2 linked regions of the Elephas maximus indicus genome follow. The protein of the gene in region 2 purifies or fractionates together with the protein of the main gene of each other region. This does not show direct contact. Links are inferred from orthologs where the notes say so. Each region holds a gene or a part of one and is shown on either strand. Other genes may lie near its edges.

Region 1 (15,251 bases), on a different chromosome or scaffold from region 2:
TCTTCAGTCTGTCTTATTCGCTGTCTAGCTTTTGCATACATATGAGGCACCTGAAAATACCATGGCTTGGGTCAGGCACATCTTAGTCCTCAAAGTGACATCTTTGCTTTTTAACACTATGCAGAAGATTTGCCCAATGCAATAAATACATCATTTGATTTCTTGACTGCTGCTTCCATGGATGTTGATTTTGGGTCCAAGTAAAATGAAATCTTAACAATTTCAATATTTTCTCCATTTATCATATCATTGCTTACTGGTCCAGTTGTGAGGATTTTTGTTTTATGTTGAGGTATAATCCATACTTAAGGCTGTAGTCTTCATCTTTGTAAGTGCATCAAGTCCTCTTTGCTTTTAGCAAGCAAGGTTGTGTTATCTGCAACCCAGATGGCGCGTTCTTCTTCATAGGGTCCAGCTTCTCGGATTATTTGCTCAGCATAGGTTGAATACAGATGGTGAAAAGATATAACCCCCACAAACACCTTTCCTGTTTTTAAACCACACAGCATTCCCTTGTTCTGTTTAAACAACTGTCTCTTGGTCTGTGTACAGCTTCTGCATGAGCACAATTAGGCGTCCTGGGATTCCCATTCTTTGCCATGTTGTCCGTAATTTGTTATGATCCACACAGCTGAATGCCTCTGCACAGTCGATAAAACACAGGTAAGTATCTTTCTGGTATTCTCTGCTTTCAGCCAAGACCCATCTGACATTAGCAATGATATCGCTCATTCCACGTCCTCTTCTGAATCTGGCTTGAACTTCTGGCAGTTCCCTGTTGATGTACAACTGCAGCCATTTTTAGGTTATTTTCATCAAAATTTTGCTTATATGTGATATTAAAGATATTGTTCAATAATGTCCACATTTCACTGGATCATCTTTCTCTGGAATGGGCATGAATACGGATTTCATTCAGTTAGTTGGCCAGGTAGCTGTCTTCCGAATTTTTTCGCACAGAGCACTTCCAGCGTTGCATCCATCTGTTGAAGCATCTCAACTGGTATTCTGTCAATTCCTGGAGCCTTCTTTTTCTCCAGTGCTTTCAGGTTCTAAATAAGTTAGAGGAATATCATCTCTCATTGTAGGTTTCACATTCTAGAAATTCCCTATACCTGAAATGAGATGCTGTAACAGAGAGGTGATTCAAGATGGGCTGGTACTTAACTGTGTGAGGCCAGGAAGGCCAGTGGGCAGGGCAGCTCTACCTTCATCCAGCAAATGCCAAACGCCGGAGTCAGCATCAAGCTGTCCAAGGGGAATTACCTTCAGGAATCGCAAGTGGAAAGCTGCTGCCTGGTATCTTTATAGCCCTACTGCCCCAACTAAGCTGCTCCCTTCAAAAATAAACAGTCCTCATTTCTCACATAATACTGTCTTCTGGTCAACAGCAAAATGATCCTTCAGATGAAGCAGAGATGTAAGCCAAGTGGGAAATCCAGGAAAGCGTATCGCTCAGCCAGTGGGACTCCCTGTCCCTGCTACACCCCACAGTCGGGTGTCTGCAGAATAATGATGAGGCAGGGGTTGGTGCTTCCAGCTCCCTTTAGCCAAACACAGGGTTCTGTGTGCCCTTCACCCCGGCCTGCAAGCACATCCTTGGCTTCCCAGCTGAAAAGACAGTAGCCAGAAGAAGGGAAAACTACTGTGTTGGGGAGATGAAAGAATGGTCTAAGTTTTGCGGGGTTTTTTTTGGGTGGGGGGGGGGCGGGGGGCAGTTGTCTACAGTCTTCCTTAAACTGTGGATTTTGACTTGGAAAAACCCAGGGCAGGAAACTCTTCCCCCTTATCTACCTTCATGGTTCTGCCCCCTCTTTCTCCTAGCTACTGGCTCCACAAGCCAGACCCCTGACCTAGCTAACCAAGTCCCATGAACAACCACCGACGCCAGCCTATAAACCAGGGAGGTGGAGGGCCTAGGCCTGAAAATCTACTCTTCTCAGTCACTCAACTATACATTATTCCAGAGACTTTCCACCTGCAGGCAGGAGGCAATACCAGAGTCCCCCTGTCCTGCCCAGCTATCTGCTCTGCGCTACATGGTTGGGCTGGCCTTCCTGCTAGGCAGTCATGAACTCTTTGGTTGTTTCCTGGTATGTGTTACCACTGGGTACACCCGGGCTCTTCGTCTTTAGGAGGAAATGCACAGCAGGGCTTTATTGGCAGGTGCCCACCCCCACACAAGATGCCCAAATGAGCAGATTAAATATTTCATACATGTATTTTAAGTGTTTAAAACTGGCCACATCCCCACTTCTAAAATCTGGTAAACTGCCAAGCTCTCAAACTTCACCCACCACTCTACCCAATAAACTAATAAGATACTGGCTGACATGAAAATCCTGACCCACTAATATTCTCTAAGTATTCATCTTATTTTCATTTCCTTAATATCTAGAGCTTCCCCATTCAATACAGTAAGCAGTAGCCACATGTGGCTATTTAAATTAAAATAAACCAGATTAAATATAAGCATGTAGTAATCCCTTTTACCTACCTGCAAGAACCATTTTTAGAGATGTTCATGACAGTTCCACCAATACAGTCATTGATTTCTTTTGATAAATCCTTGGCCAGGAGGTTTACACATACTGGGACTCTAAAAACACACAGGCATTCAGAATACAAATGGACACACACCTATTAATTTCATTCTGGTGAAGCATGGTCATGACAAAGAAACTTACTTCTTTCTGAGGTAGAAATGTTTCCCTATAATTGAGGGTAAAAGCCTCCTGATTCTTGCATCAGTAAGGAAGAAATCAAAACTACCCAAGAGGCGGAGCTTGGCTTCATAGGGTTTATATTCCTTTTTTAAAGTTCGGAGGGGGATAATCTAGAAAATATAAAGAAAAATAAAATCACAAAAAGTTAAGAACTGGAACAAGAAGAAGATGTATTCAGACAAAAATTGGTATTCCACCCTATTCAGATTTTAAGGCATCCTAGAGTCATGCAAACAATGCCTGGAGTTCTGTGGGGGCACAAACAGGTAAGTGCTCGGCTACTAACCGAAAGGTTGGCGCTCAAGAGATACACCAGAATAAAGGCCTCACTATCTGCTTCCAAAAGCTCACAGCCTTGGAAACCCTATAGAGTGCAGTTCTACTCTGCAACACCTGGGGTCGCCATGAGTCAGAATCGCCTCAAGGCCAACTGGTTTGGTATTTCTGGTTTAGAGCCATACCGATCGCAGTTTAGTAAACCCGAGTGCCTAAAATGTGCCAGGTATAATGCTAAACACTGGGGACACTGAGACAGATAAGGTGGGTCCCCAGCTAAAGAAACTTCAACCCGGACAGTAACGAAGACAAGTAAGCTAACAACTACAAAACCAAAAACCAAACCCACCGCTGTCGAGTCAATTCCGACTTTCAGCAACCCTATAGAACAGAGTAGAACTGCACCATAGAGCTTCCAATGCTGTAATACAGAAGCAGGCTGCCACATCTTTCTCCCACAGAGGGGCTGGTAGATTCTAACCGCCAACCTTTTGGTTACAGCTGAGTGCTTTAACCACTGCGTCACCAGGGCACCCCCAACAACTGCAGCACAGGGCAATAAATGCTAAATCATAGGCAACAAAAGGATGCTCTGGGAGTACAGGGAATGACACGACAGAGCAACCTCTGTATAATCCACAAGAGAGACCAGTTACTGACAGTACACACTTAGCTTTCAGGTCAACCAACCTTGATAGCTGCTGCAGCAGAGGGAAAACAGAATATACGCTATTTAACTTCATTAAAAGTTAAATTAAAAACAAAAAGAAAAACAGTGAAACACTAAGATATACAGTAATGTATTATTCATCACTTCAATTAATCGTTTGTCTTGAAAATATTAACCTGCTCCTTACCTGAGAAATGGTCTTAATTTTATGCTTGTTCAACAGATTCCTATAGAAATGTTCTGTTTTTTCAGGAGTTAAATTGGGTTCATCCTTGGTAAATAAACAGACTTCTGCTAAATCTGATCGAATAGCATAAGGCAAGGACCTGCAAAACACGAGAAGGAAGCAGAGAAAAATATCCTTACAAACAATATGTATGTTTATACTCTGCAAAATATACAAGTTTCCTATTGTTTCAATAACCTTCATTTATGTTATTTAAACAATTGCTGTACCATATACCTAGTTTTCAATAACACAGAAAAGAGATTTTAAGATTCAAGGAAATCGCTACAAATACCCAGAGGTCGAAAGATCAATTAACATTTGGGACTTAAAAAGAGTTAAAATGTAAACAAAGATGCCCCAAATATTACACATGTAATTAATATTATCTATGTTGCATACATAATATGCCAAACACATAGAAAAGAACCCTGGTGGTGCAACGGTTAAGCGCTCGGCTGCTAAACAAAAGGTCAGTAGTTCAAACCCACCAGCAGCTAGCTCTGTGGGAGAAAAGACCTGGAGATCTGCTCCCATAAAGATTAAAAAAAAATTTTTTTTTTTTTATAAAGATTACAGCCTAGAAAACCCTACTGGGCAGTTATACTCTGTCATATAGGGTCGTTACGAGTTGGAATTGACTTGAAGGCTAACTAGTTTCACTAGGATTGTCCTGGCTTAGAAGTTTACTTTCTGGAAAACTCTTAGCTCCATAAATAATAACAAGAGCTGAAACAGAAAACATGGAGCAAAACCAGGAGGGACCAGCAAGCACGCAATGATTATGTCAAGTCTTAAATAGGCTAACCTGTTCCCTAGGCCTCCATGTTCTGAGGAAACAACATTTCCTTAGCTTAAGAAGAGATGGCAATACACAGCAGCACGGCTTGAGAGGAAAGGTGAGTGCTGAAAGGCTGGTAAGTGGTAGAAATCACTAAGAGTAACACCCTAGAAAGGTTTGAGAAGGGTTTCCAAAAGGCTTTCCGAAAAACCACCTGAGCAAAGGTGTGGAAAAAAGAACATACATGGAGTGCACAAAGCAATACACAAGGCACTCTGGCTGAAGCAGGTTTGTGAACATCAGTTTTGTGAAGACCATTCTTGCCTCCCTATGGAGAAAAGAAAGTTATCCTACACAATGCTTTCTTAAGGACAGCTGACTTTCTGTCACTGTCAGGATACGAGAGACTTGACAGAAAGGCAGATACAATATAGAATGCCCAGTTAAACAGATAAACAACGAATCATTGTTTATTATAAGGAGGTCCCAAATATTGCATGGGATCTCCTTATACTGAACAAATCATATTTATGCCATAAATATGTCAACTCTACAGAGGGCATCTCTGACCTACAACTTCTAACAATAAGAATATGTAACCACAATGATTTTTTTCCATAAAAAAGAGTTCACCACCAAGTTTTTAATAAACCAGGTGCTGTCAGTCAATTCTGACTCATAGCGACCCCATATGTGTTAAGAGTATAACTGTGCTTTGTAGGGTTTCCAATGGCTGATTTTTCTGAAGTAGACTGCCTGGCCTTTCTCTCTAGGTGCTTCTGGGTGTACTCAAACTGCCAAACTTTCAGTTAGCAGCTGAGCATGCTAACTGTTTGCACTACCCAGAGACTCCAAATTTTTAATAATTTCTGTATGCAGGAGCAGGTCCAGGCCCTCATGAATTTTAGCCTAAAAATAGTATGACGTGAAAAGAATAGAGTCTACTAAAATACAAAAGCTGTTTATTCTATCTCTGTTCTCTCTAAAACTCAGTTTTGGATTCAGTAGAAATGCTTAGGTGAACTGGCTACCAAGCTCCCAGAAAGCTGGTGAAATTTCTAGAAAACCTTAGCATGCCTGAATTCCTAACATTCTTCTAGGCACGATTATTTATTTCATCTTAGATTTTTATTTTGAGTTTGCAACGTAACCACTAAAAACTAAGTTGCACTTGTTAAAGTTACAAAGAAAGACAATGCAGATGAAAACAGCAAATGTAGAAAATCAAACTTACAATCTGACTCTCAGCTCCTTCTTTGGAATTTTCCATAACACCACCATCAAAAATAAAGTTTCATTCTCATTCAGAAGCACTTCATTAGCATTTTTTCTGGACTGTGAATGTGCCAATAGAGCTTTCACTGCTTTTTTAACCTACAAAGTGGAAACACAAAATTAAGTTACATCTCGATCTAATTTGACATTTTCTCCCTCCCTTGTTTTTTGCCCTGACTTCTATTTAATAGGCAACCTCCATAACCATACCTATTAGGAACCGGCAATGTGTACTCAGCGGAATGTAAGAATTAATGGGAAATCGCCTAAGTATCTGCCTCCACCCCTCGACTACAGAAAGCCACGTCTTCTACATAAGACACTGTGCCAGACAGAAATACGCTTCCCCGGCCCTCAACGATGAAGGAGGTAATCCCTGAAGGAGATAATCCCGGTAAAAGAGCAACACAAACTGCAACTAGCATTCACTGAGCGCTTACAACGCGCCAGGCCCCTGGCTACAGCGCTTTACTTGCGTTACCTTATCTGATCCCGGCAAATGGAGGGCCGAAGAGCCCCCTTTCAATAAGAGGTAATCGGGGCTAGCAAAATTCAGTGACTTGGCTAAGACCAAACGGTTGGGAAGCAAAGCCAGGTCTCTCACTCCAGACCTCAAGTTAATTTGCAATCCAGTTAAAGAGAGCCAGGCCGCGGGCCGGGGAAAGAGGCGCCAAACCGCACGGATAAGAAAGCGAGCAGGCTGAAGCGCTAGCGAGCAAGTGTCCCCCGCCCCCAACCCCTCTCCCCCAGCCCCCGGAGGTGCCCACAGAGGTGCGCCAGGTCCCCGGCCACTCATCAGGCACCACCGCGCCTCACAGGGCCACGGGCACCCCGCTTCCGAACCGCCCTCCCCAGGGGCCACTCACCTGTGTTTTGCTCAGCTCCAGCCGCGGGTCCGCCGCGGCCGGGGTCGCCGGAGGCGAGGCTGAGGCTGGGGTCGACGCCGAGGCCTCCATACCGCCCTCACCTCGTGCAGAGGAGCGTGCGGAACCACCAGGGTAACTTCTCCCGAGCACGCGCCAAGCCAGGCCCGCAGCCGGAAGTAAAGGGGCGGCAACCGGGCCTACTTGCATCACTTCCGTGAGAGCGCGAGGTTCGGTTCCTGGGCGTCGCGCTACCGTAGGGGGGCGGACGCGAGTTGACTGAGTTACTCCGGCTGCAGTCGGAGTGATTTTCTTGGGACACATTCCTCTTTTTCCGTTCTCCTCCTGGTTTGTGTGAGGCCTGCTGACAACTCTTTCTCACTCTGACACGAAAGAAATCGAGAAAGCGCCTTGAGGCGGGAGAGGAGCCCCGTCAGCCGAGCCGTGGAGCCGTCCGTTCCCCCGGGCCCGCCTTCGGAAGGCCGCGTGGGGCTGTGGGGAGAACGCGGGTCTGGAGTCTCGCAGGTCTGCCCGGGAACCTGGCTCCACCACCCACCTACTGTGTGACTTCGGACGAACCACTTAACGCTTCCGAGCTCCAGTCTCCTCAAACGCGAGGAGAACGGTCGTGCCTCCTCACAGGGGGCCGAGGACTCTGAAGTAACACAAGGGACGTCGGGCACGTCGCTAAGCGGTGCGAGGGGCCGAGAGATGAACCGACTCAGTCTCTTAGGAGCTCCGGTCTCCCAGAGGCGGGAAATAAGAGCATAGACAAGTAAGTGTGGAGATTGGATAACGGGCACGGTGGAATACTGTAGAAAGCTTCCTTCCCTCCTCAGGTCCCCATCTGCCTCCTGGCATCCTCGGAGGTAACCTGTGTTACCAGTTTTTCCAGTGACCTTCCAGAGATGTCCTAGGCATATTGTGGAAATATCGATGCTTTTTATAGATCGTTGGATTTAAATTTCATCTTTTTTCCCCCCTTACTTCCTTTTTCCTCGTACTGTATCTTGGAGATTGTTCCCAGTCACTCATCTGTTTTAATGGCTGCACGGCATTCCACCATGTAGATATACTGTAGTTCATGTAGTTATCTTTTGATGGATATTCGAGATGGTTCCGGTCTTTCTTACAACCAGCTAAGTAAGATTTTTGAGAGATGAAAGAATGGAAGTAGAAGGCTTTCCATGTCAACTGTTTTGAAAAAATGCTCCTTTCCTATTTCCGAAGCTGGAAAAAGAGATATTCTGCTACTAATCTCTAATAATGGTCTTGTCTTTAATCCACCTTTTTGAAGAAATGTTCTTAAATCTTTGGCACCTATTTCTGTTTGTCTATTGTAGAATCTATTATAAAATGGAATTAGATTTAGCACAGAACAATGAATTTTTACATTAGGTTTGATGTATTAACATTTTCTAGTATTCTTAAAACAGTATTGGGGCTGTAGGATGCTCTGTCACCTGAATAAGTTTAAGAACCAGACTTCTAGGCCAAGGAAACCAAATGAATTCAGGTGAAAGAACTTGGAGGTGTTTGAAAGCAATAAGTGGCTGGAGCAGGGATATGCAGAGGGGAGGGACAGGAGGTGAAGCTAGAATGATAGGTCAGGAATTAATTCATTATCAAGCTGAGGGTTTATACTTACTTTGGAGAAATCATGGCGACACAAGAGGGTGTGTGTGTGTGTGTGTGTGTGTGTGTGTGTGTGTGTGTGTTTTGGTGGCACAGTGGTTAAGAGCTTGGCTGCTAACCAAAAAGGCAGCAGTTCAAATCCACCAGCCACTCCTTGGAAACCTTATGAGACAGTTCTGCTCTGTCCTATAGGGTTGCTGTGAGTCAGAATTGACTTGAAGGCAACAAATTTTGGTTTGGTGGCAAATATGTAGATAACAAAATATTTGCCGTTTCAACAGTCTTCATATGTACAGTTCAGTGACAGTAAATCTATTAAGTTGTTCAGTTATCACCATTAACCCTTTCTAGTTTCTCAATCATGCTTAACAGAAGCTCAGACACAAAGGTTTTGAACTGACGATAAGGAAGAAAAGAAGGGGGTGTTCAGTTACACTTTAGGAGTTATTAATCTGACAGTGGTATTGTGGTTCTTTTAAAGATACGACGTCATATGTCTACAATTTCTTTGATACTTTTTTTAAAGCAGTGTGGTTTAATTCCCTCTCCTTGAGTTAGTGACTTGCTTCTACCAAATAAACTGTAGCAGAAGTGATAGAAAATAGGATGTCACTTAAAAGACTAGGTTACAAAAAGATTGCAGTTTACACGTTCTCTTTTTTTCCTATCTTTCTCCTTTCATCCCTCCCTCAAGTCACTTGGTCTGGGTGAAGCCAGCTATTCTGTTGTGGAGGATACTCAGGCAGCTCATGGAGAAGTCTATGTAGCAAGGAAACCAGCAACCATATGAGTGAATATGGAAGCGGATCCTCTCCCAGTCAAATCTTGAGGTGACTGTAATCTCATGAGAGACCCTGAGCCAGAACCATCCAGCTAAGCTGCTCCCAGATTCCTGACTCACAAAAACTATTAGATAATAAATGCTTGTTGTTTTAAACCACTAAGTTTGGGGTAAATTGTTTTCCATCAATAGATAACTAATACAGATTTATAGACTTCCCATCTTCAAACCTATATCTCCAACTGTCTAAAGGACTTCTCAGAAGTTCTACAAGGACCTCACGCACAAGTTCAAGTCATGAACTCATCATCTTCCCCTCAAAGCTGCACCTTTTCCCATGTTTTCTTTGAGCTGCCTAGTTGTCCAGGCCAGAATGAGTCATCCTTGTCTCCTCATCCCCCATATATAGTCAATAAAGTCTTGTTGTTCATATGTTTTATGTTTTAAATGTGCATTTATCCAATTCTTTTTATCCCTGCCACCCTGTAGTGCAGGCTATCATATATATATATATATTTTTTTTTTTTGCTTAGATTACTGCAGCAGCCTCCCAACTTGTCTTACCTCCAATTTTGCACCTTATAGTCCATTCTCCACCCTTCAGCTGGAATGATCTCTGAAATGCAAATCCGATCATATCAAACCTGATCATGCTTAACCACATTCACTGGATTCTTACTCTCTTTAGGAACAGTTTAAGGCACTAATTCCTTAATTCGCCTTAGATATATCCTAGTTTGCATCCGTTGTCTGGTGTCCTTTCTGATTTAGCCTTTGTCCTAGACAAAAGTTTCTCAGTTTGAAAAATAAATTATATGGTCACCTTTGCAGGCCAGGCACTTTTCATCTGGTTCTGCCCTTATTACCTCCCCAGATTCATACCCTACTGCTCACCTTTTGTCTTTACGTTGTAGTTTTAACTATGCAGTTCCCACGTCTTCAGACCTTCCGACACACTGTTACTTCTGGAACACTGCCACCTTCTTGCACTTCCACCCCTAAATACACTTACTTATCCTTCTGATTTCTGCTTAGAGTTACTTCTGGAAAATTCTAGCTTAGGTTCTCCCCACTCCCCAAAACATTTAAAAATTTTCTACCATTATTTGGCTTTCCCCAGTTTGAGGATAAACTCTGAGAGGGCAGGGACTCTATGATACGTTCACCATTGTATCCTTAGCACCTAGCCCATATATAGCATAGTATTTGTGTAATGAATGAATAATACATTGGAATGGCTGAGACAGGGCTTAGGGATAGAGCAGTGGCAACTATGGTGGTTTTCTAGGTATTGAGGTCTGATGGCAGTGAGGACAAAATACCTTTAAGACTTCATCAAAAGCCGAATATACGAAGAGGAGAATTCAAAGATTACTCCCAAATTCTTGAGCCTGAATAACTGGGCATATGGATGGTGTTTAAATTTGGAGGGAAAGATATGATATTTATTCTCAACATTTTAAGTTCCAGTGTACATCAAAATGAATCTGGGAGTGCTTCTGAACTGCAGAAGGAATTTGGAAGTCATCTTCATAAACGTGCTGGTTAAAGCTGTGGAAATAAATGAGACTGCAAAGAGATACAGAGAAAGATTCGGGCTGTGGAGAAGCCCTCTGTTAGGGAAAAGGAAGGGAAAGAGCCAATAAAAGAGGCAAGTAGTTAAGTGTGTAAAAGAAAACCAAAAGTGTTCCCTGTTCCAGTAGCCAAGGGAATGGAGATATCTGAGGATGTGTTAGCACTGACAAATACTGTAGAAATTGAGAATATATCTGATAAAAGGCCATTTTGTTGAGCAATTAGGTCATTGGTGACCTTGTAGAAAGCAATTTCAGTGAAAGGATTATGAGTAAAGTAAGTGATAGGAAAAAAATGGGACTTTTTTGTAAAAAATTTTACACTAAGGCAAAAAAACTGAATGAAAGTATTTTTGTGTCCCAGAGAATTTGTTACAGGACCAGTTCTTTTTCATATTAGTACCTTACATTCAGTAGCCTGACTCTTGACTAAACTCTTAAACCAGAGATTAGAATTTTTTAAAAATGAAAATGCCCTAACATATAAATTAACCTTGTATAAATCATAGTTTTAACCATTACTGCTTATTCTTATGAATTTGGGCACGATTATCATTGTTTCCATTGAAGTGAAATGTTGAGAGCTCAAATATGGAGATGGCATGAGTTAAGAAAACGTGCAAGTAACATTGAATGTGATCCAGTGCACATTGAGAGGGAGACGGATCATATCACAAATTTGTGTAACTGAATAACAAAAATATTTGTCAGCTACAGGAATTTTGTTTTTTTCTTGTTTTAGGCAATCTATTTCTAGCAGAAAACATGGGGGAAAAAATGAACTTTTCATGCAAGTAATTTGGGCACACAAAGCCTTTAGAAAAAAAATGTAATTCCAAGAAAATTTTCACTTCTAAGACCAGCATGTTGAATTAACTATATAGAAAAAATTAAATATAAGGAAAACTAAAATGGGATGTCATAACTGTACATGAGTTTCAAAATTATTCATACAGCATCAAAGTGGCTATAAAGGCTAAAAAGAAATAACCTTGTCACTAAGGAGGGTACTACAATAAAAATAAAATTTTCCAGAACCTTTTTTCACATGGCCAAAAAGGCGAAACTAGTTGTCGTAGTTCCTTTTATATTGGGGGGACTTTAAAAGTCTGTTACTGTTATTTGTTCATCAGTAGTTCTACAGTTGTTCATCACAAAGCTACACCAAGGTATTAATGCTATTTTTCTGTTTTAAGATGTGTTGATAGGAAGATGCTGCAGTCTTTGAAACTGGTTGCATATGCCAAGAATTGTAAAAATTTCTATTGTGAGAACTACAAAGACATTATTATTGGTATCTACCCTTTGTAGTATAGTGCCTATATGTGTTTGATGCCCAAAGACAACACAGTTGTTCTTTCAATAACCCGCATAAAGTACAGATGTTTGATTGGCGGGATGGGAGACCTAGTCATTTAAGACTACAAAATTGTGGTTAATTACTGGGAGAAAATACTGAAGTTGTCAAGAATTTCATTTACTTGGCACCACAATCAACACTCATGGAAGCAGCAGTCAAGAAATCAAACGACATATTGTATTGGGTGAATCTGCTACAAAAGACCTCTTTAAAGTGTTTAAAAAAAAAGAAAAAAAGCAAAGATGTCACTTTGAGGACTAAGTGCACCTGCCCCAAGCCATGGTATTTTCAGTTGCCTCATATGCATGCAACAGCTGGACAATGAATAGGGAAGACTGAAGAAAAACTGATGCCTTTGAATTGTGGTGTTGGCAAAGAATATTGAATATACCATGGACTGCCAGAAGAATGAACAAATCTGTCTTGGAAGTATAGCCAGAATACTCCTTAGAAGAGAGGATGGTGAGACTTCATCTTACATAGTTTGGACATGTTACCAGGAGGGACCAGTCCTTAGAGAAGTACATCATGCTTGGTCATGTGGAGGGTCAGCAAAAGAGAGGAGTGAACACAGTGGCTGCAACAATGAGCTCAAATGTAGCAACAATTGTGAGCATGGCAGGGGACTGGGCATTGTTTCGTTCTGTCGTACACAGGGTTGCTGTGAGTCATAACTGACTCAGTGGCACCCCACAACCATTACTGGGAAATGGTCTCAAAAGCCATTTACTTAGAACTTTTATAATTGAGCCTCTCTTTTGATAGCAGGCTTGCTCACTAAACTAAGACTGCTTTAATGCCAAACCCCTAAACTAGAAGGTGAGTACCAAAACACTGGAGTTATAGTTTAAGCAGGAACTGATTCTAGCTCACAGAATAAAAGATGAGTGTATAGGAATGTATTGCTGCTCATTCATTTAACCCATGTGTTTAACCAGTTATGGCTGAGTCGATTCTGATTCGTGGTGACCTCGTATATCAGAGAACTGTGCTCCATGAAATTTTCAGTGGCTGATTTTTCAGAAGTAGATTACCAGGCCTTTCTTCTGAGGTGCCTCTAGGTGAACTTGAACCTCCAAACCTTTAGGTTAGCAGCTGAGAACTTTAACCATTTGCACCACCCAGGGACTTCCAACAACTGTGTATATTACCTGTTTACCATTAATTTCTTTTGCCCTTGCTCAGTAAAGAGGGGCAAGTACCGTTTGGTTTCTTGATTTTTATTAAAAATACTGAATATAGAGGTTCACAGTTCTGACAGAATAATCATTGATTTTCCCTAAGTCTGCTGTTCAGATAAAACCACGTTACTTATAGCATTTCTAGTTTTTTATAGGGCTGCTGTTTTCATTATGGTTCAGTCATGTACACCACACGAGCCTTGCTTACCATATGCAAGCAGACCGCAAGTTTGTAAATTTCTTACACTGACAGCTTATCAGATCCATCCAACAAATCTGGTAGACAGTTCCAGTACTTGATATAAAAATACAGGATTGTATGCAAAGTGGACAGACACACTTATGGTCTGGTGAAATACAAGATTATAAACAAACAGACAAATCCTTTAAAAGGGAAGATGACAATTTTTATTGTTATTACAAAAGCTTTTTTTTTTTTTTCAATCATTTGAATAATTGCAAGAGCAGACTAAGAGTTTAATCCTCACACAGGCACCATGTCAGGCACAGTAGGTAGCTACAAATCATAAGAAACAGGTTTCTTTACCTCTGGATTCCTGTAATTCCTTTCTAGAACATTTTTTCGTGCTTTCAAATTAGGTTAAAAAACTTTTAACTTAAGTCAGTTCCCTTTAATCCTATTAAAAAAGAAAAAAGATCTAGATATTATCCTGTTATCTAATAAAAATTATTCACTTAATCCTGGCCTGAAAGATATCCTCATTTCCTTTAGAAATAAACTGAAGAAAGTAAAGGGTATGTAAATTTCTGAGCCCAAAGTATGAGTCCTTAAAATGCAGACCTTCCAGGCTTAGACCTGTTACACTTCTGTGAGTAGAGAAAATGGAAGGGAGGACAATCCCCTGAGGGGTGCAAGAGCGCCAGCCCCAGCACACGCTCTCCACCAGTAGCAGGAAAGGAGGTAGCAAGGACTTGGGCTGACATCTGAAACACTAGCTAATGTGCCTGGTACAGGGGAACCTCGGAAGTAGAAAATGTCATTCCACCTTTGCTATCCACAAACCTGAGGTTTCCATGTTAGATTTTAAAGGGCATGTGTGACAAGGCAGAAGAGATGAGAAATCCTGGCATAGTACCTGTTTTTCCCTTATACTGCAAAACATAAAGGTTTTAATCTCCAGTCCCACACCTGTAGGCCCTTATAATAACTCCTTAGTAAACAACTCAGCCAGTATTATTTTTTCAAGGAAGCATAGGATTAGAGGTATGTGAAAAGTATGTTTAATGAAGGGAAGACTCAATGTTCTAGGATACTGAAAATCAAGAATATCCCAGAGCCAAAACCACTGAGAAAGTTGAACCAAATCTACCTTACCTGAATCCTGGCAGTAATTGTTTCAAATGGAATCCACTTTACTACTATTGGGAAATAAAAATACTTCCTATTCCATTTCCTGTGGAATCTAATATAACCAACTGACTGCTAAATGGAAACTTAAGTCTTTTGAGTTGTGCATATATAATTACACTTATTTAACAAATTTCTGCCATTGGCAGAATGAAACAAGACCATGAATATATTAGATGGTATCTGCTAGAATCACTGTATAATTAGCTGGAGGAAATAAAAATCATCCTCAAATCTAGTTGATTGCTATCTACCTTACCTATGTCTGTGAGAGGATTAATGGCACAGTTTGTTCTGATAAGGTAGGCCAACACTGAGTATAACATTTAATCATCCTATAATCAGAGCTATAGTGCTGCACCCAGAATTTTCATAACAGGTTTAAAGGTTCAAAGTTGCCTAATGTTAAGAGCTGTAATAAAAACTGTGTATTTGTGCCTTGACTATCTTAATCCCTACCCAAAGCAGTTTCATCCACGAAGCAGCGTTCCATGAGGAAGTCCATGCCAATGAGGAAAGGTGCTAGAGTGCTGT
Region 2 (15,405 bases):
ATGGTCATTCCTCCATAGTTATTCAGTGAGGTTAAGGTTTGTCAAATGCCAGGCTCTCCTGAAATGAGCCTAACAAGCACCATCCTAATAAAGGGGTTGGCCTCTTCCCCTCTTTGAGTGCCTCTTTCTAGTCATGCTTCCCTACTGAAAATGGCTTCTCTAGAAAGGTCAAAAACACATGACCCTCAGGGACAGGGAACATGAAGAGGATTAATAATACAGGTGATCACAATCAAGGGATGGATTACAATATTTAAATACAAGGTTTATAGTCAATAAAACCAAAACCCATTGCCATCGAGTCAATTCTGACTCACAGTGACCGTATAGGACAGAACAGAACTGCCCCATAGGGTTTTGAAGGAGCACCTGGTGGATCTGAACTGCTGACCTCTTGGTTAGCAGCTGTACCTCTTAACCACTACACCACCAGGGTCTCCTTTAGAGTCAATAGTCGATAGTTTAAAAAAAAAAAAAATTCTATCTGCAGGAGATAGAATGGGTGACTTTAAAGAGATCCAAATAAAAAATAAAACGTATGTAAACAACACTAAGGAGATGTTTTTTGTTCCCCCCTATGACAATGCAGAGCCCTAGAGATATGTTTTAGTTACCTGAGGGGGACGGCCTCTCTTCTTGTCTTGCAGTTCTCCATGAAGTTTCTCAATCAAGGGGATGGCAAAGGAGAATGTCTTCCCAGTTCCTGTCCGTGCCTGTGCAATTAAATCCTTCCCACTATAGACATGATGAAATGTCTTCGCTTGTATAGGAAACAGGAAGTTCACCCCACGAGCTGTGAACACATTAACCTTGTTACCTGATATAGCAATTCTTAAAATACCAGCCATACTGAGGCAATAAAGTAACCCATGTTTCTGATCTTGAAGAATTAAGGAATTTTACTTTCGGGTCAAATTTTGAGTTCTACAAAGTCAGCTTCAAATATATTCTGGTAGTAAAGAACCTGCTCAACTGAAAACTATCGATAAACTCTAAAGCACAAAATATGGTAAATATTTGTCAATTTAAGAGATTGCATAAGTCACTTATTATGAAGTCTTATTTGTGTTAATATGAAAATCAGGTGCTTTGCAGTCCAAACTGTGCTGCACTTAACAATTTAGAAAATACCTATAGTCTAGCATCTGTGACTAAGTAGCTAGTGCACAGGCAGACTACTAAAGTTCTCAGTTAGGCTGGCGTCATTAACCTAGAGGATAAAACAGAAAACACTACCATGACATTGCTCATTTAATCTGACCAGCAACATGAGTCATTACACTTCTGAATAAATGTTGTTTCTTTAAGAGGCAGTAAAGGCCATCGCAACTACAGTCCTATACTGAGCAGGCAGGAATGCCTCATTACATGGCTGCATAAGAATATATCTTGGGTCACTCCCACAAAATACCAGAGCATTTCAAAATAAGGTTTTATGTATGGATATAGTATTTCCAAAATATTACCTTTGAGAAGTTTAACAGTTGCTTCAGATATGGGAAAATTAGAAAAAGCTCCTTCTTTCTGTTCCACTGGTATTTCCTATTGGGTAAAGGGGGACAGCATTGGAAACAGGAAATCAATCACTCTGCCCCTACAAGTTAACAAAGAGAACCCTCCTAAGGAAGATGAAGGAACCTATTCTAAAACATCCCTTGTAGACATAATAATTTAAAGTCAACCGAGCAGACACAAAAGGCTTGGTTGGTAAATCAAGTTCTGAAAAGGAAATAATCTATAAAACCTTAACAAAAGAAAGAATCTACACCAAATATATACTGCACATAAAGTATGCACGGCTGGCAAAGGGAGACTCAGTCTCGACTAAGAACTATCCCATGGCCGTTCCAAATGAATATGACTGTCAACACCCTGTTGAACAAGTCACCAGCCCTTTTCACAGCAATATCACTCATAGACATCCAGCCCTTTTCACAGCAATATCACTCATAGACATCCATAGAAAACAAAGAACATTTTATGAACAAAGATGGTCCTTGTGGCATTATTTGATAGTAAAAAACCTGAATGCCGATTAAATAACCGAATTTCTAAACATTCGTCTGATAGATTATATAGCCATTAAAAACTTTAATTTAAAAACAGTTGTATATATAAAGAGTACTACATAAGGAAACAAAAAAAAAATTAGTAACAGGTTACCACTGTACCTTGAAAATGCTTAATATTTAATAAATGAATGAATGCTGAAATTATAGTGATTTTCTGGGGGAGGAGGGCGGAATTTATGAATTTTTCAAATTCTCTAGATCGCGTATTTGTTATAATCAGGAAAAAAATTTTTTAAACATTCATCTTCTGATACATGGCACACAGAAAATTGCTTATTATGTTTTTCTTTGATAACTGAATTTCTGAAAGGTAGTAACAGAATTAGCTTCCAAGTTAGACAGAAATTTACTCATCTTGTTGATGGCAACCAAACCCATTGCCATCAAGTCGATTCTGACTCATAGCGACCCTATAGGACAGAGTAGAACTGCCACATAATTTCCAAGGAGCACCTGGTAGATTCAAACTGCCAGCCTTTTGGTTAGCAGCCATGGCAGTTAACCACTATGCCACCAGGGCTTTCAGCTAGTTAAGAGCCTGAACAAAAGCATTTCTGCAATCAAGCAAATACTTTTTCAGGAGTTCCACTTAATCCTGATGAGGTAAAACCAGGGAAGCTAGGTTCCACCTGTACAAGATCTCTCCTATTGATTTACTGATTTGCAAATAAGGAGAGAAAACTTTCCCCAAGCTTAAACAAATCTGCTTATTTACAAAGGAGGCATTTTGATCCTATACAATTTTGAAAAATGAGATGAAGTTTCACTCTGTATGTAGCTCAAGGGACCGCTATGAAATGCTGACACAACGAATTTCCTACCACTTATGAAACAGAATGTGTAGGAATTACCTACCTTTTAATCTGAAACAAGAAGGAAAAATACACCCTATCTATTAAAATACAAACTTACCTGTTCTAGTTCACTATTACTCTCTTCACTTGTGGCTTCACTGGAGTTAGAGGCAGGTCCAGAATGAGGAAGTCCATTCTTCAGTTTGGGCTTTTTCTCTCCAATTTCTCCATTCATTTCCTTTTCTTTCTTTATCTTCTTAGGCTTAGGAGCACCCATTTCTTTTTCAGAAGGCTCCTCATTTTTTATCGCTTTTTTGATTTTAGGAGACCCAACTTGATTTTCAACAGGTTCCTTTTTCTTTTTTACATTTTTGGTTTTAGGAGACATAGCGTCATCTTGAGATTGCTCTTCTTTCTTTTTTACCTTTTTGGATTTGGGAGAATTAATTTCAACTTCAGAAGGCTCTGCTTTCTTTTTCATTTTTTTAGCTTTGGGGGAACTAGTTTCCTCCTTTTCGTCTGCTGACTCTTCAGTCTTATTAGATTTTGGCTTCTCTTTCTTAGCTTTCTAAAAAAATTAACAGAAATTTGAACATTGAACGAAGCTCCTATACATCTGCATAATACATCACTTCTGGATGACTTTAAGATTACTGATAATTATGAAGAATGAAAGTTTCTTTTTGGCATTTCAGTGTTTGTACTTTTCATCTTACAATAAGGCAAAGATCAAACTTAGTATTTTTTTTTAGCACCACTTCTTAGCTATATGAAGCTAAGTATACATCCGTAGTTTCATTAGCTTGGAAAATCAAGAGTGGCTCTTAGTAACTATTCAATTCATGCTGGTCGTACAAGTCTATAAATCAAATGTTCGTAAGAGATTTGGGATGCTCTAACAGCTCTAAACTAAAGCAATCGAGTACATTCAAATGTAACACTGACAGAATAACAGGGTCCTAAAATGCCTATAGATGGATGTTAAGCAGATTTCTTTTCTTTGTACCTACTAGAATTCCTCTACAGGTAAACAGGGATTAATAATATCTGCCTTGCCTATCTATTTCAAGTGCAAATGAACTTACATAAAGATACTTTATGAACCAAAAGGCTGTAAAACCCCACAACTTATCACCCCATGCATAAAAATGATGTGCCTAAATTAAAGTAAAACAAAACATACGAAAACAGCACATGTTACAAATAAGTGGAAGGGATGAAACCCTAAAACCAAACTAGACAGGTAGATATGGCTAACTGAAATTTGACCCTAACCTTTCACATTATTGAAAACTTATTACAGTCAGACTTTGACAGGTGTTGTAGCCTGGCACAGCCTCAGCACTATTATACTGAGTTGATATCTTCCTCCCTTAAACTCCAGGTATGGGTTCCAGGCCTGGCCCCTGTTCTAGAATCACGGATTAGGGGTAACCTCTCTCTCACAAGATGGTACTAGGGGGTGGGAATCTGGTCTCTAAAGGCTTCTTTTCTCCAGTCCTTTCATCCCTTCTTCTCACCAAAAGAGTGGGTTTCCCATCTCAACGAGCCTCTTTTGGAACATAATGGAGTTTGGTCGTGCCCTCCTAATTTGAGCATCCCACACTGAACACACTGACTGAGGCAGAGTAAGCAAACCAGGACCACTAACTCCCCACTGTGAAGAAAAGTTTGTGCTCCCTTGTCTTCCCACAATGCCAAAATGCTGATTCTGTAAGAGCTCCCCATCAAAAAGACTCAGAAACAACTGGGAAAAGGTACTCTAAGTCATGTACAAAATAAGTTCAGGGCCAATCTGCATTCCCACTGACCTTATCTCAGAACAGAAACTCAGGCACAAATTAAATCACTGTGTAGAAATCGACACCAAAAAAGCAGACGCTGTCAAGATAACTAAACACTATTGCACTGCTGGCCTATATTAAAAAATGGTGTACAGTTAGCACCACAGCACGGCTCTTTACATTTCCACGGAAAATCTGATCAATAAATATTAGGAGTAATTAAAATGCCTGGTCTTCAAAGGGCTGCTTCTCAGAAAACAAACTACTTCCCTTAACTACGGCAAAAAAAATTTCACTGCTAACGCTGCCAGCATTTGCCGGTCCTCTAAAGATCCCTCCCCACGTGGTAGATAGGTTTAAGATCTCACAGGTCAGTCCCTACTGCCTGGACTTAATTTACAATTCGCCTTCGAGCACGCTAACACCCGAATTAAGTCTGAACCAACGGGGTCCTGGCGGTGAACTTCCGACTCCGCGCCATCAGATGCGGGAGCCCAGACTCCGGGGACCACGTGCGACACCCAGGCCGCTTTCCAGCTGCGATCTGCCCGGGCCTGGCTGCCAAAACTCCCCAGGACTGGTGGATGCGTCCGAGCTGAAAGGGAGAGTTCGGTGCGCGGCGGAGACGGCTCCATCGGGCGGGCAACACCTTCCCTAGGGGCTCCCTTGCCGAGATGGCTGCCCCGACTCCGGACGCGCCAGGTCCTCGCCGCCCAGCCCGGCCACCTCCCCGGATTCCAGGGCCCCACCGTCCTCAGCGCCCAGCCCCTCGCCCTGTCTTGCTCTGAGTCCCTCAACCCCCCGCGGCACCTTCTCATTTTGCTTTGGCGGTATCTCCAGCTTTCCCATGGTCGTGTCTGATTCCAAAGCGGCGTCACTAAGGAGTTTTCCCGGCATCACTCAGGACAACCTCGATAACCCAACCGGGCTCGTCAGCCGCGTGGAGAGGAAGAGACAGAAGTACCTCTTTAGTCCACCCAGCTTGCGTCACTTCCGGTAGCAAAGCATTTTGGGCGGAAACTGGTCGCACAGCGAGGCTGAGCGGACCACGTGGTAGTTTTATGTCACCAGCCGCAGACATTACCTGGGGTTACTTAGGGAGTTGACCACGTAATGCGGCTGGACGAGGGGCACCTACAAAAGGGTAGAGCTGGGAAGGACCACAAAGGTTAGCTTTGTATTTTCTTTCAAACACTGTTCTCGCCAACCCCAGCCTGATAGATGGAGACTTTTCAGTGCTCTTCTGTATACTAAGATCGCAGAAATTTGTAAAGCCCTTTCACATACAAACGCGCGCGACTGATCATCTCTGAAGACTCCGAATGGTGACGCCGCCACTTAACGAGCCTAGGTAAGCGCCAGAATTTATTCATACGTTCAGTTCACTTAACAAACATCCCCTGAGCATTCACTGTCAGGTGTGCAGAGAAGGGCTAGGATTCAGAAGCAGTTAATACACAAGCCTTGTCCGCGCAGCTTTATAGACTGGTGGAGGAGATAGACAAGGGTTCATTGTTCTGAAGGCACAAGCTTTGGGACCAGTAGAAGGCACCCAAACCACCGGGAAAAAAAAAAAAAAAAAAAGCCATTGCCATCGAGTCGATTCCAACTCATAGCCACCCTATAGGTCAGAGGAGAACTGCACCATAGAGTTTCCAAGGAGCGCCTTTGCTGACCGCGGTAGCCCTCAATTAGAAAATAACAGGGGTCCCCAGTCTTGCGTATCAAACAATATACATATGCAAGCAGTTGAGGAAAAGTGACCCATTGAGTGATCTGTGACTGTTTTAAATTTTCTGAAGAACTAGTGACCCAGAGTATTGGGAGACAATTCATCATATCTGGCATTGAAACCTACCTTTGCCACTATTTGTCTGGGATTTTTGACACCTTACTTAGTTTGAACCTGAGTTTCTCATGCATGGAACAGATAACAAAACCTACCTGATCTGTTGAGAAAATTAAATAAATGGGTTTAGTAGTGCACAGTAAATAAGAGCTATTAAAACAGATGTGTCACAAGTGCTTGGAAAAACAATTTAAAATATTTCATTTTATGGCACAAATAAAGGAAAATGCTGTAACAATTTCTATATTAAATTAGTTTTTACTACACATTTTTTAATCTGACAGTTTTAAGGGAAAATCTCGTGTTTCACCAGCTTATTGTTTGGTGTTTCACAATCTCTACCTTTTTAAGAGATAAATTTATGTAAATGTGCAACAATGCTTTAACTTACACCCAGATATTCCTGAGCCAGGAGCCTTATCCATCTTTGTGTTCTCAGCATTTCAAAAACAGTGCCTGGCACATAGCAGGCTCGCTAAATGTTTGTTGGTCACTAAAATGGCAATTGGGGGAGGAACCCTCAAAATAAATTTGATACATATGATGCAAAGGCAGTACAGCACTTCAGTCGTCTTCGTGTCGGGTGTGACAGGAGGAGCACACTTGAATGCAGTCAACGAATCAACCGACAAAATCTTAACATCTGAGGTATCAGCACTGTACTTCGGACTTAAGGACACAGAGTCAAGGCCCAGTCCCTGACGCAAGGGACCTGCAATCTGGTTGAGAAACCGTGTGATACTGCTGTATACAGTATGGGGGATGTGTTTATTACCTTAAACAGATGTTTAACAGGAGAATAAGCCCCAGAATACTACTAAATGGAAAACTGTTGTCAAAGCTTATATAGATTCCTTTGTAACGTACCTCCACGTGGCACAAGATCCAAATTCCAAGAGGGAAACACACCGAAAGTTCCTTTTAGCTCCAAGACAGTCAAATTATTGAATCTAGTTATCAATATAAAATTCAGGAGTAAGTGAAAGAGATGGGCCTTATATACATTTGGTAGGAAAGGCAAAGTCCTAATTATTAATTCTGCCAAACTAATTTCCTTTGACCTAAATGATGTAACATGTTTTCATAAGATTAATCAGTTGCCATTGAGTTGATTCTGACTCATGGCAACCCCACGTGTGTCAGAGTAGACCTGTGCTCCGTAGGGTTTTCAATGGCTGATTTTTCAGAAGTAGATTGCCAGGCCTTTCTTCCAAGGTGCCTCCGTGTGGACTTGAACCTCCAACCTTTCAGTTAGCAGCCAACTGCATTAACCATTTGCACCACCCAGGGGCTTGTTCTTAAGATTAGGGGGACAATTTCTATTTTAAAAGGTATGTATACATATACACATATGCACACACACAATTCAGAAGTCTCCATGACAAAATGTTAGCAGTAGTTATCTCTGGGTGCTGTGATCCTTTTTTCAAGTTTCCAATAATAGACATGTATTACTAATAAGAAAAAGAGAATATGGTTTAAAAGGACTATTCAGCACCCCCAAAATATATAGGAAACAAAAACAGTGTGAGAGAAGGCTCTCCAACATTCATTCCTAAATGTGAATTCATTATTCACACTTACAGTGCTAAAGGGAAGAAAACATTTTATTTATAAATTCAAAACCCAATTCTAAGGGCGACTGATTCAAATTCAAACCACTGTTCAGTGAGGACACTAGCACACAGTACCCAACAGAAGGCTCTGAATAGCCAGAAGGCAGAGCCAAGAGGAAGGAGCAAAGATAAGTGGCTGAGTGTAGCCAAAGCTCCTTTCAGAAGATATGGAGAGCTATTTTGAATCTTATTAGGACTCACCCCATCTTTCTTGGGTGAGAATAGGCTAATAGGGAAGCCAGTCTTCAGTAGGTAGGCCCCTTAAGTCCATCTTTCATCCTATTGGTATTTGCCCAAATACTTTTTCACTGTCTTCCCTGTTGTTAAGTGCCATTGAGTTAGTTCTGACTCACAGTGACCCTGTGTACAACAGAACAAAACACTGCCTGGTCCTGAGCCATCCTCACAATTGTTGTGCTGTCTTCCCTAAGAAGTCTTCAGTTGCTCTCCAAAACAGCCTACAAATCCCTCCAAGATGCGACTCTTGCCTTGCTCTCGCTACTCCTTTCCTTGCGTGAAGATTCTGGCACCAAGAGCTACTTACAGTTCCTCATACTTAGACCGTGTTGTTTTATTAGCAATTCTGTGCTTGTCTGGATGCCCATGCCACTTCACTGTTTCTTTCACCTGACTTAATTCATGTTCAATCATATCCAAAAAACTTTCTTTGAGCCCCCATCCCTATTCCTGGGCTGGGCTAGGTGCCCTTGCACAGAGCTCTCAAATCAATGCCCTTCATTCATTGCCACGTATGATGTTCCATCTATTTCATGAGATTTTGAGCTCTTGAGGGCAGAGATTAGGCCTTCTTCATTCACTTTTGGACCCAAAGCATACTGCCTGGGACATTGTGGGCACACAATGTATTCTGGCTGAATGTACTTCTGCATCTTAGTGAGAACTGAGCCTCTATTTTATCTTGGTTCTATAACTAGAGCTCACAGTTATGCAAATAAGAGTCAACTGAGATTTTTTTTTTTTTCCTCAGGTATGGCCTTATGGAACCCTGTTTCCCATAACCAAAAGTTCCCCTTCCTCAATCCATCAGTCTTTCCCTCAGCTTAGCTTAACTGAATTCTGGCTCTACCTGAAAAATATACCCTCTGCAGTTTTCTCACACAGATGTTGTTCATTCCATCACATTCCATGTACTCTGCTGTCACTGTCCTCTTAGCCTCAAAGCCACTTCCAGACTATTACTCCTTCACATTCATGTAGAAGCCCTTGTCCTTTTGAGGATATGTGATAATATCACTGTATATACTCCTCATTCAGATAGTTTACCAACCTGCCCATCATACACTGATAATTTGGCACCTGGCTTAGTCTTTTTCTTCCTTCTCAACGCTGGTTTTTCTTCATCCTAAGAGACTTCATTGTCCAGGAAAACCACCTGGTTTCTCAGCTCCTTGACCACTTCAACTGAAATGAACTTAATCCTCACAGGCCTACTACCACACCTCCAACTTGTCTTCTTACCTGCTCCACTCTTGAAATCACAAATTCACAATCCTTGCTGACATTTAGTCCTTTGCCCCCTCTACATTCTCCATTATGATCCCCATCTCCATTTCAATCCCTAGACAGTCTAGATTCCATGGAACATCACTCCCATCAGTCTTACCAAAGTCCTCAACATCCTTGCTTTGTTACCCTTTTATTTCTCTCAGAGCAAAACCCTAATCCTGAATCAGTCAACTGTCTCCCTTCTCCATTCCTACCGCCAGAATGTTGAGCGTTGCTATGGAAAATCACTCTCTGGTGCCACCACAAGTCCAGTCTATAATCTCAGCTAGACTCTCAAAGCTGCTTGTGACTTGTCAGTTTGCCTAGTGAACTCTCTTCTTGTTCTATAGTTGATACTTCGGCAGTTCTCCACTCTCCTCAGATCTCCTAGCCTAATATTTCCTTCTTTACCCTCAACAGATGAACTTGTAGGAATACCACAGAAAAGACAGAAGACATGGGGCAGGTACTCCCTTGGCTTTTTACCTTAACACCTGCAAACTCACCTCATGATAATCTTACTTTCCTCCTGATAAAATGTTACGAGATTTGTCTCTCCCATCTGAGGCTAAAAACTCCACTTGTGTACTTGATCCCATCCCTCTGCGTTTTCATTAAGGATTGTGCTCCATCATACTTTCTTCTGAATCTTCACAATTGCCTTCCTCCTTACCAGCTCCTTCCCATTAGTATTTAAACACACTCAAACATGCCTCAACTCCCCCCCATACACACATATAAACCCTTACAAACTCATCTTTTTCTTCCTCCAGCTTTAGCTTTTTCTTGCCTATTCGCAGCCATATATGAGTTGTCCAAGTTTGCTGTCCTTACTTCTTTATCTCCACTTCCTGCTGAACCCACTGTTAAATGACCTCTAAATATTCTATTAAAATGTTTGCTCCCTATGTCAAAATTTATTTTTTGCCAAATCCAGTGGTCACTTGAGGCTCCTCTTGTGGTTCCTTTAAAAAACCTCATCCTCCTGGGCTTTCTGCCCTCCTCAAGGGTGAGATAGATGGGATTCCCTTTCCTCTGTTATCCAGTTAAGTATATTGGTATGCCTTTTGGTTCCTTCCTTAGCCCTCTTACTGTACTTGCCCTGGATAATCTCTACTACCTTGATTATAATTACCATTTTTTGCTTATTATTCCCAAATGTGCATTTCTAGAATGTATCTCTCCTCAACTTCAGACCTAAAAACCCTACCGCTACTGTTTATCTCCTCTTATATATCCTAAGGACTACTCAATATGAACATATATCTAATCCTGAACTAATCATATGCCCACCCCCATCCACATAACTTCTCGTTTCTCCATCTATTACGCTATCTCAGTGACAAAAATCTAAATTTCATATTTCTGTTTCTGTCTCATCTGTTGATCCAATCACCAAGGCTGACAACTCTGTCTCCTAAAAACCTCTGGTATCTATCCATGTTTCTCAACATCCACTGCCACTATTTAGCACAGTAGTTAAGAGCGCCAGTTCAGAAGCCAGCCTTACCTTGGTTCAAATCCTCCTTCCATTATACATTAGCCAGCTGGGTGATTCTGGACAAGTAACAACCTCTCCAGTGCCTGAGTTCTCATCACACAAACTATGATACCTATCAGTTCTCACCACTATCACCTCTACCTTGGACTACACTGACAGCCTCTGAAGAGGTCTCCTGGCCTCAAGTCTGGCCCTTCTCCAATTCAGTCTCCTCAGTGTGGCCAATAGTCTTTCTGAAACACAAATCTAATCATGGTACTTATTTTAAACCCTTTAATGGTTCCCTGCTGGGGGAACCATTAAAGAGCTGGGCCGCTAACCAAAAGGTTGGCAGTTCGAATCCACCAGCTGCTCCTTGGAAACCCTATGGGGCAGTACTACTCTGTCCTATAGGGTCGCTATGAGTCGGAATTAACTCGATGACAATGTTTTTTTTTGCTTTTTACTGTCCTCAAAAGGTTTAAACTTCTTAACATGACGCACAAGGCCTTTAAAATCTGGCCCAATTAATACTAAAACCTATCTCTTGTATTCCTGTCTTCTATCACATGTAAACCATACTGAACTAGTTGTATGTCTTTAGACTTACCAGGTTATTTTTTGCCCCTACGTTTCTACATATGCTGTTTTCTCTGCCTGCAAATCCTCTCCTGCCATACACATACACTTGGCTAGATCAACTCATACTTTTGCTTTACTTCTCTGTTGGTTACCACTTCTCCTAAGCCTTCCTAACCCATAAAACTGGTTGGGCGCACCTGTTCTAGGTCTTTAGCATCCCATGCCTACCTGTAGCTTGGCCTTCACTTGTTAATCTCTATCGTGACTGTCTGTTAGAGTGTAAGTTCTTTGAGGATAATGATTATACCTGTTCACAATATTTCCCAGTGATTAGCATCGATACTGACACATGGTAGGATTCGATAAATACTTGTTGACTACATCGTTGTGCACTTCTTACATCTTTTAGTTAACTCCACCTAGAAATTTAATGTGTTATACCTAACCAAGGAGCCCTGGTGGCACAGTGGTTAAATGCTGGGCTGCTAACCAAAAAGTCTGCAGTTTGGATCTACCAGCTGCTCCTTGGAAACCCTATGGAGCAAGTCTACCCTGTCCTATAGGGTTGCTATGAGTTGGGATCGACTCTATGGCAGCAGGTTTTGTTTTGTTTTTTTCTTTATACCTCACCAACCATGTATCACCAATTTACACAGCCCTTCAGAAGGGATTTTGTATTGTCTACCACATAACCTATAGGAGGAATGACCTGAAAATACACATTTTGTAAAAGCAAGTAACCTTAAGTAGAATCTTGATTACCAAATTTTAGAAGAAATATAAAAAGATTACACTGAAGAAATCCTTAACGCATAGTGAAAAGAGACAATAAAAGGAGGTTTTTTTTATTCAAAGGTATAACTGGATAAGTAGATTTGTTTACAACCATTCTTGTGAAATACTTTTTAAAAAAATACGACCAACTTCTTTGCAAACAGCAGACACATACCTCAACTATGATGACCTAATTTTTGGTGGGTAATGTACATGATTAGGCAGAAACAGACAAGCTCACACTGGTAGATTAACTATCAAATGCTCAGTCAAAACTCCGTTTGTGGCCCCCACTTCTTGATCGATTTCTATTTCCACTTCGTCTTCTACTGTCTTGTCGACTTCCTGACCGACTTCCCTGTCGACTCTGTCTACCTGACCGGCCACCAGATCGACCTCCTGACCGGCCTGACCGGCCACCTGACCAGCCACTCCTCTGTCTGGAATTAGAAGATGTATTTCCATCATAGTATTCTTCAATTTCAGGTAATTTGGCTGGCACTGAGAGTATCCAGTCTGAATCATGCCACTCTGCCTGTTAGGGGAATTTACAGGATTAATACAAATGCAAAATAGAAACTACAAGCAAGCATATGAGTATATCCATTATCACTACACTTAGCTAAAGGCCATCTACCCATTCAATTCAAAATGTCTGGAACAAATATGAAAACCAAAGAACAAAAATGTGCTCAAAGCTCATCCACTAAAGTTCCTGAGTTTAATCTCAGGACAAATGCTCAGGCCCATTTTGAGAATCTATATTTAGTTTATAAACTCTAAAAGAGCACCATCTGGTTTCAAAGCAAACATGCCATTAATAAGTACTGCATTGATTTAAAATGGTATACTGATAGCAGTAAGAGCTGGTGAGACTAGAAACCTGTCAGCACCAGTCAGGGACTAAGACATGTAGCCACTGGAGACAATTTGGTACACAGATTAATAACTCAAGATACACAAATCATTCGGTCATAAGAGCATCACTGTTACATCCTGCTACATTCACATGTTCATTGTGATCATGAGCTGCCAAGGAAAGTTAATATCTAAGATATCTTGTTGGTGACAGTGGGAAGAAACAAACACCCACACAACACTTGTAGATTTGGCAATATATGACCTAAAGCCTTAAAAATGCTCAAACCTTTGGGCCAAGCAGCCATCTTTAAGAATTCATTTTACAGAGGTAAACGTGGCAATGCATAAAGTTAGCTATACCAATGATCTGTACAGTCTTGTGTATAACAGTAAATTACTGAAAATAAACTAAGTGTCAAGAAATACGACATTGGTTAGCACGGTTGGCCATCCGTTATGGCCAAATGCCAGAGCCATTAAAAATAACTGTCTAGGTGACACAGAGATGTATTCACAATATATTTTGAATTTTTAGAAAGGCTTCGAAAATAGAGCAATTCCATTTTTTGTTTCAAAATATGTATACAAATATGCAATAAAACTTTAGAAGGATGCAGTATTAACAGTGGTTATCTCCAAGTTCAGCTTATGGGTGATTTTTATTTTCTTTTTTATTTCTATTTTTTGAAATTTCTACAATTAACATGCATTAACTGTGTAATATAACAGATTACCCAATTTAAAAAAGCAGGTTAGATATATGTATGCGCCTGACAATTATTTCCTAACTTGAAATCTTTCCTAGTTAAACAAACTGTTTTTAAAAATATACACACACAAAAATTTTTTAAATAGATATATTTTGGAAAGTTTTCCCTACAAGAGAGTTTTTTTTTTTTTTTTAAATATATGGATGTAAAAGGATCATTCTCAATAATGTGAAAACTTGAGTGGTAAGGAAAAGGAGCTGTGCTTTGTCTACCATGAATGTAATCCAATTCTACCTATGAGTTATGTTTTAGTGGGGTATTCCACCACCTGTATGTCAGTTTGTCATACTGTGGTGGCTTCCATGTTGCTATGCTGCTAGAAGCTACGTCATCGGTATTTCGATAACCAGCAGGGTCACCCATGGTGGACAGCTTTCAGCGGAGCTGTCAGACTAAAAAAAACTCAGAATAAAGGCCTAGTGATCTACTTCTGAAAACTAGCCAATTAAAATCTTAAGGATTACAAAAGAGCATTGTCCAACTCGCTTGCTTTGGACATGTCATCAGGAGGGATCAACTGCTAGAGGAGGACATCATATTTGGGGAAGCAGAGGGCCTCAAGCTCATGGGAGACCCCTTGGTGAGATGGACTGGAACGATGGCTACAATGATAGAAAAAAAATTGAAAGAAAAAAAATTTAATCTGCATACACCATTAGTAGTAAAACCACACAGAAAGGAATGGTATTCCAAGTCATTTTTTTCCCCCAAGTGATTTTATAACACAGTAATTAATCTTGGCTGTACGTCCCAGTATAATACTTCCTAAGGACAAAAATACTTAAAAAAAATTTTTTTAAAATAGTTTTCAATAGTCATATTGTTGAGAATAGTGTTAATTAGTACTGTTATTCTGAGACTGCAATGAGGGATAAAAAAAACCCCATCACTCGTTGCTGTTGAGCTGATTCCGACTCATAGCAATCCTACAGGACAGAGTAGAACTGTTCCGTAGTTTCCAAGGAGCACCTGGTGGATTCAAACTGCCGACCTTTTGGTTAGCAGCTGTAACAGTTAACCACTACACCACCAAGGCTTCCATGAGGGATAAGCTACTAATTATGTTGATGTCATTGAAAACCAGGATTTTTAGCATGGAAGAAAGGAGATACAGTGCTGCATTTGAATTGAGTTAACCAGTATAAACTTATGATACATTTTATCTTCAAAAAAAGAAGAAAATGTATTTTCTATGATCAACCTAGCAGCAACGACCACCTCTAGTATCCAGACCGTGGTCTCAAAATACAATTACTAAAAGTAATCAGGGCTTCTTGGAGAAATGGCTGATTCCAGGTCTAGGGCAAGAATGTATAA

What was found.
Region 1: the proteins of DDX21 (region 2) and RSL1D1 purify together in Homo sapiens (affinity purification with mass spectrometry; 3 studies listed by BioGRID and IntAct, with this or other methods). This does not show direct contact. The link is inferred for Elephas maximus indicus from reciprocal best matches to the Homo sapiens genes DDX21 and RSL1D1.

The regions. Positions count from the first base shown.
Region 1 is NC_064830.1:69,943,713-69,958,963, forward strand, and holds the start of RSL1D1 (ribosomal L1 domain-containing protein 1), read right to left. Parts: upstream 7,009-15,251; 5' UTR 6,911-7,008; coding exon 6,821-6,910; intron 6,054-6,820; coding exon 5,914-6,053; intron 3,999-5,913; coding exon 3,860-3,998; intron 2,837-3,859; coding exon 2,688-2,836; intron 2,600-2,687; coding exon 2,498-2,599; intron 1-2,497. UniProt on the Homo sapiens protein: Regulates cellular senescence through inhibition of PTEN translation. Acts as a pro-apoptotic regulator in response to DNA damage.
Region 2 is NC_064834.1:18,982,581-18,997,985, forward strand, and holds the start of DDX21 (nucleolar RNA helicase 2), read right to left. Parts: upstream 5,631-15,405; 5' UTR 5,548-5,630; coding exon 5,461-5,547; intron 3,435-5,460; coding exon 2,985-3,434; intron 1,543-2,984; coding exon 1,467-1,542; intron 794-1,466; coding exon 615-793; intron 1-614. Other genes in the region: ATP-dependent RNA helicase DDX50, read right to left, coding at 12,723-12,992.